2 linked regions of the Callithrix jacchus genome follow. The protein of the gene in region 1 purifies or fractionates together with the protein of each later gene. This does not show direct contact. Links are inferred from orthologs where the notes say so. Each region holds a gene or a part of one and is shown on either strand. Other genes may lie near its edges.

Region 1 (6,543 bases):
TGTGTACCTATAGTCCCAGCTACTCGGGAGGCTGAGGTGGGAGGATCACTTGAGCCTGGGAGGTTGAGGCTGCAGTGAGCCGTGATTGCACCACTGCACTCCAGCCTGGGTGTCACAGCAAGAGCCTGTTTGCAGAAAACAAAAATTCTTATACTAAGGTAGCCATGTGAACTATTTTAATACTTGCATATATTAAGCATGGTGACACTGTGTATGCACTCCTGAGAACTGAGTCCTGGTGGAGGCTCAAAAGAGGATTCTGGAACTCTCTAGCCTCCAAGGAGTCCCGCGGTCAGGGAGTTTGCAGAAAGCAGCCTTGGGTCAATGATACAGAAGCCAGAGAAGGTGGACTATGGAAATCTCCAAATTCACTTCCACCCAACTTCCCAAAAAAGTACTGTTATTCTTCGTTAGCTACTTCTTTAGGAAAATTTTAGAATGATCTTGCTTTTTACCACCCAATGTTATACTGGAAACGTACTTTTTCAGGAAGCAAGTGGCTATCTTTTCTTCCTTAATAAAAGCCAAGGCTTCAAAGAGATAACGGAGCCAAACCGAAATAGCTAAGCCACTCTGCCCATTTATAAATATTACATAAAGTCTCTTCAAAAGCCGAAGGGTATAAAAGCTCCTCTGCTGAAAGCAGCCTCTCTCTCCTACATGGTGAGAGCAGGTGCTGGCGGGAGCAAGGCTGTGGGGCCAAGACTCACACTGTACCAGGCATCCCCTTCTCTTTCTCCTCCTATCAACAGTGCCCCCAGTAATGACCATGATCATGGCAGAGCCAGGCAGGGGCAGCAAGGGGCACACCCAGATCCTCAGTTCCAGAGACATCTGCTCTGTTGCTGACAGCAAGGACCCTTATGGAACGCAAGAGACCAACACACACCAAGGCTGAGAGGCTAAACAGTACACAAAGTTGAATGGCACATATTTTCATTAAGGCCACAAAATGCAAATCATCTACGTTTCCTCCCTTTTCCTTCTGCCAAGACGTAGCAATAGCATCAACTCCGATCTCTGTCCCCGTCAAAACCATGGATTCACAGTAAACCTGACTCTACCATTCTCTCCACACCTAACTGGGTATCCGTCACCTTTCACCTCCCTTCTTCTCACTTGTCACATCCTGGACCTGATCTCACACACTCATGGGCCTAACCCATCATTCTTTCATTTTTGTCATTCCTCAACTATTTTTGTGCTCAATCTACTGTGCTCCAGGCACTATTATAAACCATGAATATTGCACAGCTTTTGTCTTCCCAATGTCCCAGTGGAGAAGAGAGACTTCTAGATTAAAAAAACAAAATCATGGCCAGGCCTGTGGCTCACTTTGGGAGGCTGAGGCGGTCGGATCACAAGGTTGAGAGATAGAGACCACCCTAGCCAACATGGTGAAACCCTGTCTCTACTAAAAATACAAAAACTAGCTGGGTGTGGTGACGCACACCTGTAGTCCCAGCTACTCAGGAGGCTGAGGAAGGAGAATCACTCGAACCCAGGAGGTAGAGGTTGCAGTGAGCCAGGATCACACCACTGCACTCCAGCCTGGTGACAAAGCCACACTGTCTAAAAAAAAAAAAAAAAAGGGGGGGGGCCGGGCACGGTGGCCTGTAATCCCAGCACTTTGGGAGGCTGAGGCTGGTGGATCATGAGGTCAACAGATCGAGACCATCCTGGTCAACATGGTGAAACCCCATGGTGAAATCTCCACTAACAATACAAAAAATTAGCTGGGCATGGTGGTGCGTGCCTGTAATCCCAGCTACTCAGGAGGCTGAGGCAGGAGAATTGCCTGAACCCAGGAGGCGGAGGTTGCGGTGAGCCGAGATCGTGCCATTGCACTCCAGCCTGGGTAACAAGAGCGAAACTCCGTCTCAAAAAAAAAAAATCATTACAATCCTATGTAACAGGAGTCACAAAGCAAGGCACACATCCACCTTCACAGAAGAGGGAGTGGCTATGTTAGCTTGGTGCAAAGGGAGATTTAACACAGGTGGTGATGTCTAGCAGACTCTTAGAAGTAAAAGAATTTCAGGTGCAAAAGAGTGAGAAAGAGAGAAAACAGAATTCGCAAAGGCACCAAGAGCTGAACGAGTAGACTCTCATCCAGGAAGGGCAATAGGTTCCAAGTGACTGGAATGCCAACTGCATGGAAGGATAAGGTTGTGTTCAGATTCAGAAAGGCCTTGAACGCCACCCCAACAAACCTGGAGAAATGTGGAGAGGGTTTAAACCCAAGCCATGTCAGCCTGAAGAAGTGCTTTCACTCATCACAGGTTTTTCAAATGTTGGAATTAGTAGCCAACAACTAAAACTTAGCAAATTTCATATAAAAGTATAGAATCAGGTCGGGCGCAGTGGCTCATGCCTATAATCCCAGCACTTTGGGAGGCCAAGGCAGGTGGATCACAAGGAGTTCCAGCAGTCAGGAGTTTGAGACCAGCCTGGCCAAAATGGCAAAACCCCATCTCTACTAAAAATACAAAAAAGTAGCCAGGTATGGTGTCATGTGCCTGTAATCCCAGCTCCTCCAGAGGCTGAAGCAGGATAATTGCTTGAACCTGGAAGGCACAGGTTGCAGTGAGCCGAGATCGCACCACTGCACTCCAGCCTGGGTGACAGAGTGAGACTCCATCTCAAAAACTAAAAAATAAAAATATAAAAGCATAGAATCTTGGCTCCTTTAAGAAAATAATCTAGCACACTGGGCCAACATTCCTATGGTGACACGTGTCTGAGAAGCAGGTGCAGCAGCTGGCCCCTTCAGGTGGCATACGTATTACGGAGTTCATGACCGCCCTCACTTGAAGGCATGTGAATTTGCAATCCCTGATTTTAAGAGAGAGGATAATACTATAGACCGGCGGAGGGGTAGTTTACAGGAAAATAACACTGAAAGTGATCCAGTGATTAAACTGCGCAGTGAAACTGAAGGGCAAGTTAGGAGGATTTCACCACAGCATGAGGAGGTAACAAAAGCCTGAGCCAAGTTAGAATAAACACTCAAAAGAAAGTAAAGATTCAAGAAATGCTTAAAATGCTCCAGGCACAAGAATGCTTATTAATGATGCAACTCGTGTGTGTCATCTGTTCATGGACAAAGACTGTATTAGGAGACGGAAAGACTCAAAATTAATTCTCAATTAAAAAATAAAGTGGCTATTAAACTGTGGAAAATCCACTCCAGTGCCATAAAGCAGAGACAACCGATGAGGCACAGCTGTCTGTGTAATTCTCATCGTGGACTCTCAGGATCGCTTTCCAGGTGGAAAGGAACAAACACACCTGCAAACCCTCTGCGCGAAGCCCCTGAGAAGTGATGCTTACAAGCAGAGACTGGGGTCTAAACCATTATAATCTCTCTCAGCAGGACTAACAGTGACTTGGCAAACTTAGAAACCCTTGCAGCTCATCCACGGGAGGGTCCTGCCCGAAAACTCACACAGGCCGTTGACATCCAGCATGTTGGAGATGCCCCGGTCACTCATGTCCACTTCGGGCTGGTTCTTCTCCCGGCTCTCCTCCACCAACTTCTTTAGGGACTTGGACATGGTCTGCAGCAAACAACAACAAAGCACGTGGGCGATGGCAGGAAGGTCAGGAGCGGAAAGAGGCCTTGGCTGCCACTCTGGGGCTTCCCCAGGGTTGGAGAGGGTGGGCGTCCGAGGGCGTCCCCGGAGCTGGTCCGGGTGCTGGAAGAGAATGGGGCGGGGCAGGGGAGTGGGAAGGATCCAGCCCCGATCCGGCCACGCAAAGAGAAGCAACCCCAAGTGCAACGCCGCACACACTCACCGCGGAGAGCAGCCCCTAACAGGGTGGGCGTGCAACCACAGGCTTCAGCAGGACGCACTCCGGCGGCGGGAGATGCCTTGGTTCTCCACAACACCGGTACGGAACAGCGAACACGCCCTGTCTCGGCACTCCGCGCAGGCGCACACCGCGCCGCTGCCAGCTCCACGCCCGACCCTACCCAAATTAGGAGAACAGCTTGCTAGACGTGGCTCCCGGACCAGGCTCCACCCTTATAAGTATGTAGAGGAGGATGGCCAATCACGTTTGTTACTCGCTTCGAGACCCCGCCCCACGCCGAGGTTAGTTAAATTCTGTGGCGTCCACGCCGCGGCTTGGCACTCTGATTGGGTGAAAGTTGGTACGTGCACCCTGGATTTGGCGCATGCTCAGTTGGTAGGTCGCAGCCCAGAGGGCTGTGGGCGGAAGCGGGTAAGATTTTTGACTCGACTGAGTAAGGGAAGGTGGTGACAGAGGGTGGGTGTGGCAAAAGCTGGGAGTAAATTGTCTACAAATGTTTCACTTCTGTAATTGCAGCTCCATTCTCCAGAAGCTGCTACCCTGAGTCCTATCTCCATATTGTGTCTCTGAGTGATCCTGTGGGTCACGCAGCCTCCCTCCCTATTAAGAGCTCCTCCAGGTAGGGATTCCAGCGCGGTCTGCGTTTTCCCAGTGCCCCACTGGAAATCTTTTTTAACATCTTGTTGGTTTCTAAGGCTGGCTTTTACCCCTGACCCTTTTGCTCTTGAGCAACGAGAACTACCCTCAGGGCTAGAAGCTACAAGTAAAACCCTACCATTTTAAGTCATTTGAAAACACCACTAAAGCGATGCGTCTTTCCCAGTTGTGACTTTCACATCTGTGAAACATTATATTCTTGTTTACAGGAATCTCCCGCTGTCTCTTCCAAAAGCAATCAACTTTTGAATTCTAGCAAAACTGCTGCCCTCTACCTCCCTATTTCCTGACCCAGTCTCAGACATCCAGCAATATCCTGTGCTGCTCTCACCCAAAAACCTGTTCTGAAAGACAGTTACATGCTCTGGAACAGATTGGCAGCAGGCACTTTTCTCCTTTGTCACCTACATTGATGATAGACGGACGGATACCACACATATGCATTTATATATTGTAGATTGTAGTAGGGATCAAAGCCTTCAGATGCAGTAAAATAATGTAATCATAACTCTGAAGCAGTTGTATAAAAAAAGATCTGCACTCTTTTTTTTTTTTTTTTTTTTTTGGTTAAAAAACATTTCAGATGAAAAGGTTATTTCTGTATTAGTCTTCTTTGATCTAGAGCTGTTCCTTGGCTTTTGTATGTATTGAACTAGACATTATTAAAGAGTACAGACCAGGTATTGTGTGGAATATCCTTTAAAGTGAGTTTGTCTGATGTTCCCTTTCAGGATATGAATTTTTGAAGAAACACCACTAAAGCGATGTGTCTTTTCCGGTGCATATCGAGGTGCAGATGACATTGGTTTCCCCCAGTATTGGTGATGTTCACTTGGTAAGGTGGTATCTGCCAGATTTCTTCACCATGAAGTTACTATTTTTTTCTTTATGATTAAAAATGATGCTTGGGGGTAGGTGCTACTTGGTTATGTCCCATTCCTCATCTAATTTTTACCCACTAGTTTTGGCATCCACTGATTTAATCTATATGTATTAGTTGGTAATCTCCTAATACATATCTCTTGAATCATTATATCTTTTAAAGCAAAAGTGCTTTTAAAAAAATCAGAATTTTTCTTATTCCATCAATTTCTTTTTTGTTGTTGTTGTGACGGAGTCTTGCTCTGTCGCCAGGCTGGAGTGCAGTGGTGCAATCTCAGCTTATTGCAGCCTCCGCCACCCTGGTTCAAGCCATTCCCCTGCCTCAGCCTCCCAAGTCGCTGGGACCCCAGGCATGTGCCAGCAAGCCCAGCTAATTTTTAGTATTTTAGTAGAGATGGGGTTTTACCATGTTGGCCAGGCTGATCTCAAACTCCTGACCTCAGGTGATCTGCCCTCAGCATCCTAAAGTGCTGGGATTACAGGCCTGAGCCACCACGCCCAGCCTTGTCCCATCAGTTTCTAATAGTGAATCTTGACTATGTAGGCTGAAGACAGTAATACCTGTGTTAGTCGGCTTGGGCTGGCATAACAATATACCACAGACTGGATGGCTTAAACGACAGAAATTTCTCACAATTCTGGAAGTTCAAGATCAAGGTGCTAGCAGATTTGATTTATCCTGTGGACGCTCCCCTTGGCTTGTGGATGACTTTTTCTCTTGGTGTCCTCCCAGGGCATTTTATCTGTGCAGTCACACTCTTGGTGTATCTTCCTCTTCTTATAAGGACACCAGCCCTATGGGACTACAGCCCAACTCTTGTTTCTCTGTATTAACACCCTTCCTAAGTATCACTGAGGATAATAGTTTTTAAACCTCTCTTCTGTTCACTAAATTATGTTTCTTCAAGGGTCCATTCTTGTGTGTGTTTATCTCGTCTTTCCCCTAAAAAAGAAAGATTCTTCCTCTCTCTGGTGATTGATTCTTGGTTGTTCTTTTGAGTTCAGGTGTGAAGATCTAAACTGATTTTTCTAGGTAGCTGCAGTGGTTTCTTTCCTCTCTTGTTTGTATTTTGTTTTTCTCCTTGGTCCCTGGGATAATTGTTGGATTTCTTTAGCGGCAAGAATCCAGTGTTCTGCCTGCAGGTCATTGCCAGGCTACCTTTGCTGCTGAAGGGAAATGGTGGATTG
Region 2 (5,964 bases), on another chromosome or scaffold:
ACAATTCATTCATGTGAAACAGATTCTAAGAGTATATCTAAAGTCTTCACTGAGCTATTATTCCACACTCCACACATTTATAGTCCATTTCTAGGTAAGCCACTGTAAACTGAGCATAACTAACTCCTTCTAGCTACAAGTAGGTGATCCAACCACCTGCCATGAAAGCCACATCCACTGCAGCGCTCAACTCTCCTACCGAAAAGCTTCTGCAGGACTTGTCCATCATATAAATCTTCAGCCAGGTCTTTCACAATGATTCTTTCTCCAACCAACACATCATTAATCCAGTCAATTAATACCTACAGAGAGAGAGAATGTGTAAGAATAAGAAAAAAGTCATAGGGTACTTTCTTATAGGCCAACTTTCTTATCTTGAACAATTAAATGTAAATGAACTTCAGATTTTAAGTTTCATTTTATTTTAGAGACGGGGTCTCATTATGTCACCTAGGCTGGACTCAAACCCCTGAGCTCAAGTGATCTTCCTGCCTCCGCCTCCTGTAAAGCTGGGACCGTGGGTGCGTTTCACTGCCCAGCTTTGAACTTCAGATTTTAAAAGAAGCAGAACTAGCCACATGACCCAGTGTGTGCACAGGTAGCTACAAGTGTGAGCCCTATTGGCCTTCTTAATTTTCAGATGTGCATCCTGCTAGTGCTGCTGGCACCAGTGTCCCTGTTAATATTGACAGCCCCTGTTATTCCTTACTCTAATGGCAAGCAACGACGATGGACAAAAAAGACAGTTTCTAACCCCAAGAAGCTCACCATTTAGTGAAGTGCATGAGATGCTGTAACGGGACCTGGAGAGCTAAGGACAGGGCCACAGCAGCCGCAGAGGGGCTGAGCCTTGGCACTAGAGTTTGGAGCAAGCTTTCTGGAGCAGGTAGCCATGCTGAGACTTTCAGATGAAGAGCAGGAGAAGCATTCTAGTCAGAGGGGACTGCATTAGCCAGGCTTGGCGGTGAGGAGTGCTGGGAGCATGCATGGGCTGCTGGGAGGAGCAGGTCTGGCATCCCTGTGTTGCTGGGTAGCGGCTGATCTGAGATTGAAGAGGCAGTTAGAGCACAGACTCTAAACACCACCTCCAGAAGTGGCCTACAACCTGTGGTGGATGGGAAACTCTGACAGGTCTTGCACTGGGGAAGTGCATATTCAGATTTGCGTGGGGAATGAATTGCTCTGACATCCAGTGCTTTTTTTTTTTTATTTTTTTGAGACAGGCCCAGGCTGCAGTGCAGTGGCAGGATCACGGCTCACAGTAACCTCTGCCTCCCAGATTCAAGCCCTTCTCCCACCTCAGCCTCCTGAGTAGCTAGGACTACAGGCATGCGCCACCACACTTGACTAATTTTTATATTTTTAGTAGAGATGGTGTTTCACCACATTGCCCAGGCTGGTCCCAAACTCCTGAGCTCAAGTGATCCACCTGCCTCAGCCTCCGCAGAGTGCTGGAATAACAGGCCTGAATGCCTTTTGTCTTAAGTGCAGCTTGGTTAAGCTCAAGAGGAGGAACAAGATGCAGGGGAGAAATGAACAGTTTTAGAAGGACAGGCGCACACTGGCCACTATGCAGTTGTTATGCACAGTATATCACTTCATCTCCTTTATTTCTGCTTGGACTCCGTCTCCTTGTTTATGATCATAAACAAACCACTTGGGTTTTCTGAGACTTGGTTTTGTCATCCGGAAAATGGGAATGAGACTAATTTCTACTCCAGTGCATGCTTTTGAGAGTTCTTGAGAAAATAAGCATTTTGTACACTCTGGAATCCTGGCCAACATGAGCTTACCTGTACTGACCTGTCTGGTGCTATGACCAGCACCACTCACTGGGCATTTGTCACGCTCCACGCTTACACAATCAGTTGTTTTCCATGGCCATCTGCTAGCCTGAGGCAGGGGCTGCCATGACTTTTTACCTTCTCTGAGGGGCTCGCGGGGTGCTTGCTCACAGCAGGTGGCATATGGACACCTGGTGGGTCTGTGAGGCACCAGAAGGCACTCCTGATTTCTTCTTACCTTCATCAGTTCTTGAAGCTTGGGGTCACTGCGTGAGTTTGGATCCACCATAGTTCGCACCTCATTCTCCTCTTTAAAAAGAAAAGGAATTCAGTGGGGGTGCTGGCACTGGAAAGCTTAAGCCAATTCAGAGACAAGAGCACAGTTACCCAGCATCGTGTCCTCGGGGTCCAGCTCGAAGGGAATCGGGCTGAGGGGCAGGTTGATGGCATTCATTCCCTCCTCCTGCAGCTCAGACACTGGAAGAAAAGGAAGAGCAGGGTCACATTTCAGCCGACGACAGACGGCAGGGGGTTGGAGCTCTGTAACAAGGGTGTTGGATATTGACATTGAGAAAAATACCCACTAAGGGTAGATTACAGCTGTTACTCAGCCTACGATCAATTCGCGGCCTCGCCTGGCTGACAGGACCTAATTGTCCCCTTAATCTCACCTGTGCCAATTGTCACCTCACTTGCTTTCCTCAGGGAAACAGGGAGGTCTCAACAGCACAGAAATCTCCCTCCTCTCTGAAAAGATTTCTGAATAAACGGAAGCGAGGTGGGCGCTGACTTCTTTCTGACTCTGCCTCCTGCCCGTCCCTCCTTCCAGGACTTTCTGTCTGGTGCCCAGTGACTGCTGACAGGATGAACAGGGTCATGGGTTTGAGGCTATATGTATCCTGTAAGGCATTTCCATCCTCAGCTCCAGCCTCCTCTGACTTCTCACCTCTCCTGATTATCTGTCCTCCCACCTCCACCCAACCCCAGACACTGCTCAAAAATACCTTGGTCCCAGCCCTTCCCTGAGTTCTGGTCCTATCCCTTCAGATGGAACCAGCTGTGGGACCTGAGGTACTCTCCTCCAAGTGCCCAGTCCCCACATGGAGGCTTAGTACAAAAAAATTCCTCCTACAAAACCAGTTGTGTGACAGACATTCGGTGAGTGCTGACCTTGGATTACCCCTCCTAAAAGCAGTGACTTAAATCCCCTTGCTTTTCGCCAATTAAGCACAGAAAGGCCATTTTCTCAGAAGGTGTTGGTCACCAAGAGGTTCTTAAAGAGCTAACACAGCAGCTGCCATCAACCTTAATTAAAAAAATAAAATGGAAAGATGGGACGTTGCTTTTATTGACTCTGGCCTCACCAAGTGCCAGCATAGACTTGCAAGAAATCCTAAGCACAAGGCAGCCACTTACAAAGAGTTCTTTCACATCAGCACACTCACTGATAGCCGCAGTTGTACTGGAACGAGACTGACAAAGGGAGTGAAACAGACTATACCCTGAAGAGACACAACTCTCATGACGAGGCTGGTATTTAGTACCTTTGTAGTGGGCCCTGGACATTGATAGAGGGTACCAGCCAGTCACCACCTTGAATCTCCAAATTCACAGACACACACCATTTCATAGCATTCTCCATAAATTGTAACAAACACAGAAGGGATACCTTCAAAGCTTAAATCAGGCTTGTCCAGCCTGCAGCTCCCAGGCTGCAATGTGACTCACGATGGATTTGAATGCAGCCCAAAAATGCAGAATTTTTAAGAAAATTCATAAACTTTCTTAAAACATTATGAGATTATCAGGAGTTTGTGTGTGTGTGTGTGTTTTGTTTTTTTTTTAGCTCATCAGCTATCATTAGTGTTTCATGTATTTTATGTGTGGTCCAAGACAATCTTCCTCCTTCCAATATGGCCCAGGGAAGCCAAAAGATTGAGCACCCCTGGCTTAATGATTCTGTAGGTACTGGATTGTGTTTGTTTTCTAGCTAAGCACAACTGCTTCCTTAGACTTCTTTAGTTTCTTCTAATATTTCCCCTAGAACTACCAGTTTTCTTTCTTTCCCAGGCTATTCCTCACAAAGAAGCACGATTTTCATTACTTTGTTAACAAGCGTTGCCATGCATGCTGTGAGCAGCGGAAATAAAGTCATGTTTAAATGTGGCTACAAGGCTAGGCTTACTGGCTAGTGAAGGAACTTGCTCCTGCCTGGGACTTTCTCTCCTGAAGCTACACTGATCTGCACTGTCCAATACAGTAGCTACTAGCCACTTGAGCTATTTACATTTTAATGAATTAAAAATTCAGCTGCTTAGCTGCACCAACCACATTTCAAACACTCAGTGGCTGCAGATGGCCGGCACTACAATATTAGACAGCAAGGATGTAGAAAGCTTCCATCACAAGATCATCAAGTGTGTTCTCATGATTTAAGTGAGGACATGCCATATTTGGTTTTCTGTTCCTGTGTTAGTTTGCTAAGAATAATGGCCTCCAGCTCCTTCCATGTCCCTGCAAAGGACATAATCCTGTTCTGTTTTTATGGCTGCATAGTATTCCATGGTGTATATGTACCACATTTTCTTTATCCAGCCTGTCGTTGCTGGGCATTTAGAAAACAATCCATAAAACAAACTGCCAGGACACAAGTTTGCCTATGTAACAAACATGTACGACTGAACTTAAATGAAAATTAAAAAATAACATTTAAAAAAAAGATCAAGTGGAAAATGTTGTCCTAGGTCATCCCGTTCAACTAATGTCCACGTCCATATTTAAATATCCAGCCTAGGTCTGGCTCTGGGCTCCAGGCTTATGAATCTAACTGTGTGTTCCATGTTTCCTCTTAAGTCTATTAATAGAGTTCTCAAATGTACACATCCACACAGAACTTGAGATTCTCAACACCCTCACACCCACGATACCAGCACTAAAACGAACCTGTTCTTCCTTTATTCTTATCCTCCTCAGTAGATGGCACCACTGTTTACACCATGGTTCACACCAAGCTCCGAGGAATCACCCTTAAGTTCTCATTTTCCTCACCTTTTGCATCCATATGAAACACCGGCAAGTTTTGTGGGTTCTGCCTCCAAACCAGGACTCAATTCCAAACACTTCTCACCATCTCTCTGCTCCACCACCCTGACTTGAGCCACCGTTATCTTTTGCCTGGACTATCAGAACCACCTGCTAACTGGTCTGCTGCTTTGCTTGCATTTCCCCAGCTCTCATCTACCTCCCACAGTGCAGCCAGAATGTCTTATAAAAACGTAAATAGGATCAATACATTCTCCTACTTCAAGCTTTCCAGTGACTTCCCATCATACTCAGAATAACACCTCAACTCCTATCTATGACCTATCAGACTCTGTTAGCACTCTCACCTCCCTCTCATGTTTTATTTTCTCATCATGATCTGAAATAATAATTTATATGTTTGTTAACTCTCTCCTCACCAGAACATAAGTTTTGTAAGGACTGGCACTATTTCTCTCTTGTTCGCTATTAGATCCCCAAAGAGGCCAGACAGTACAGTGGTTAGAAGCCAGGCTGCCTATATGCACATCCAGACTCTACCACTCACCAGCTCTGTGGCCTTGCGCAAGTTCATCAGCCTCTCAAGCCTAGGATTCCTTATCTGCAAAATGGGAATTATAGCAATATGGCCTACCTCCTAGGGTTGCTGAGAAGATTACATGAGTTAATATATGCAAAATACCCAGAAGCATGCCTGGCAGCCGCTAAGAAATAGGTAAATATATGCTACTATTATTATTATTACTTAAAACAACACCTCAAGCATTGTAAGCACTCAAGAAATATTTGTTGAATATCTAATCCAAACTGTCAAGACCACCCTTCAACTGCACAGGTTTTGAGTTGAGGCGGAATTTGCCAAAGTAGAGTATGGGATGCAAAGGATTTTACCTTTTTCCCAGAAAAACAAAATACATGTGCATTTTAGCCTGACAGTGCGTGTGTACTTGTGCGTGTGCATGCACGCCCATTTCTGGGGCAGCATTTCCAGCTTACATTTTGTAAGGGAAGAAAAGACACATCTGTCCCAAGACTTGTTGTATAGCCAAAAAGAGCCAATTTGTAAATAGAGAGGTATTGAAACATCTCTAAAATGTGACTAGAAACTCAGTATTTGAAGGTGAGACTCTGAAAGGTG

What was found. Proteins that work in one complex are often made in the same cells at the same time.
Region 2: the proteins of RSU1 (region 1) and PARVA purify together in Homo sapiens (affinity purification with mass spectrometry; 3 studies listed by BioGRID and IntAct, counting the BioPlex papers as one, with this or other methods). This does not show direct contact. The link is inferred for Callithrix jacchus from reciprocal best matches to the Homo sapiens genes RSU1 and PARVA.

Annotation. Positions count from the first base shown.
Region 1 is NC_133508.1:17,646,458-17,653,000, forward strand, and holds the start of RSU1 (ras suppressor protein 1), read right to left. Parts: upstream 3,592-6,543; intron 3,561-3,591; 5' UTR 3,558-3,560; coding exon 3,449-3,557; intron 1-3,448. Other genes in the region: uncharacterized protein LOC103794109, read left to right, coding at 3,592-4,227, 5,205-5,219. UniProt on the Homo sapiens protein: Potentially plays a role in the Ras signal transduction pathway. Capable of suppressing v-Ras transformation in vitro.
Region 2 is NC_133511.1:78,368,927-78,374,890, reverse strand, and holds part of PARVA (alpha-parvin), read right to left. Parts: intron 2,262-5,964; coding exon 2,172-2,261; intron 2,094-2,171; coding exon 2,023-2,093; intron 303-2,022; coding exon 200-302; intron 1-199. UniProt on the Homo sapiens protein: Plays a role in sarcomere organization and in smooth muscle cell contraction. Required for normal development of the embryonic cardiovascular system, and for normal septation of the heart outflow tract.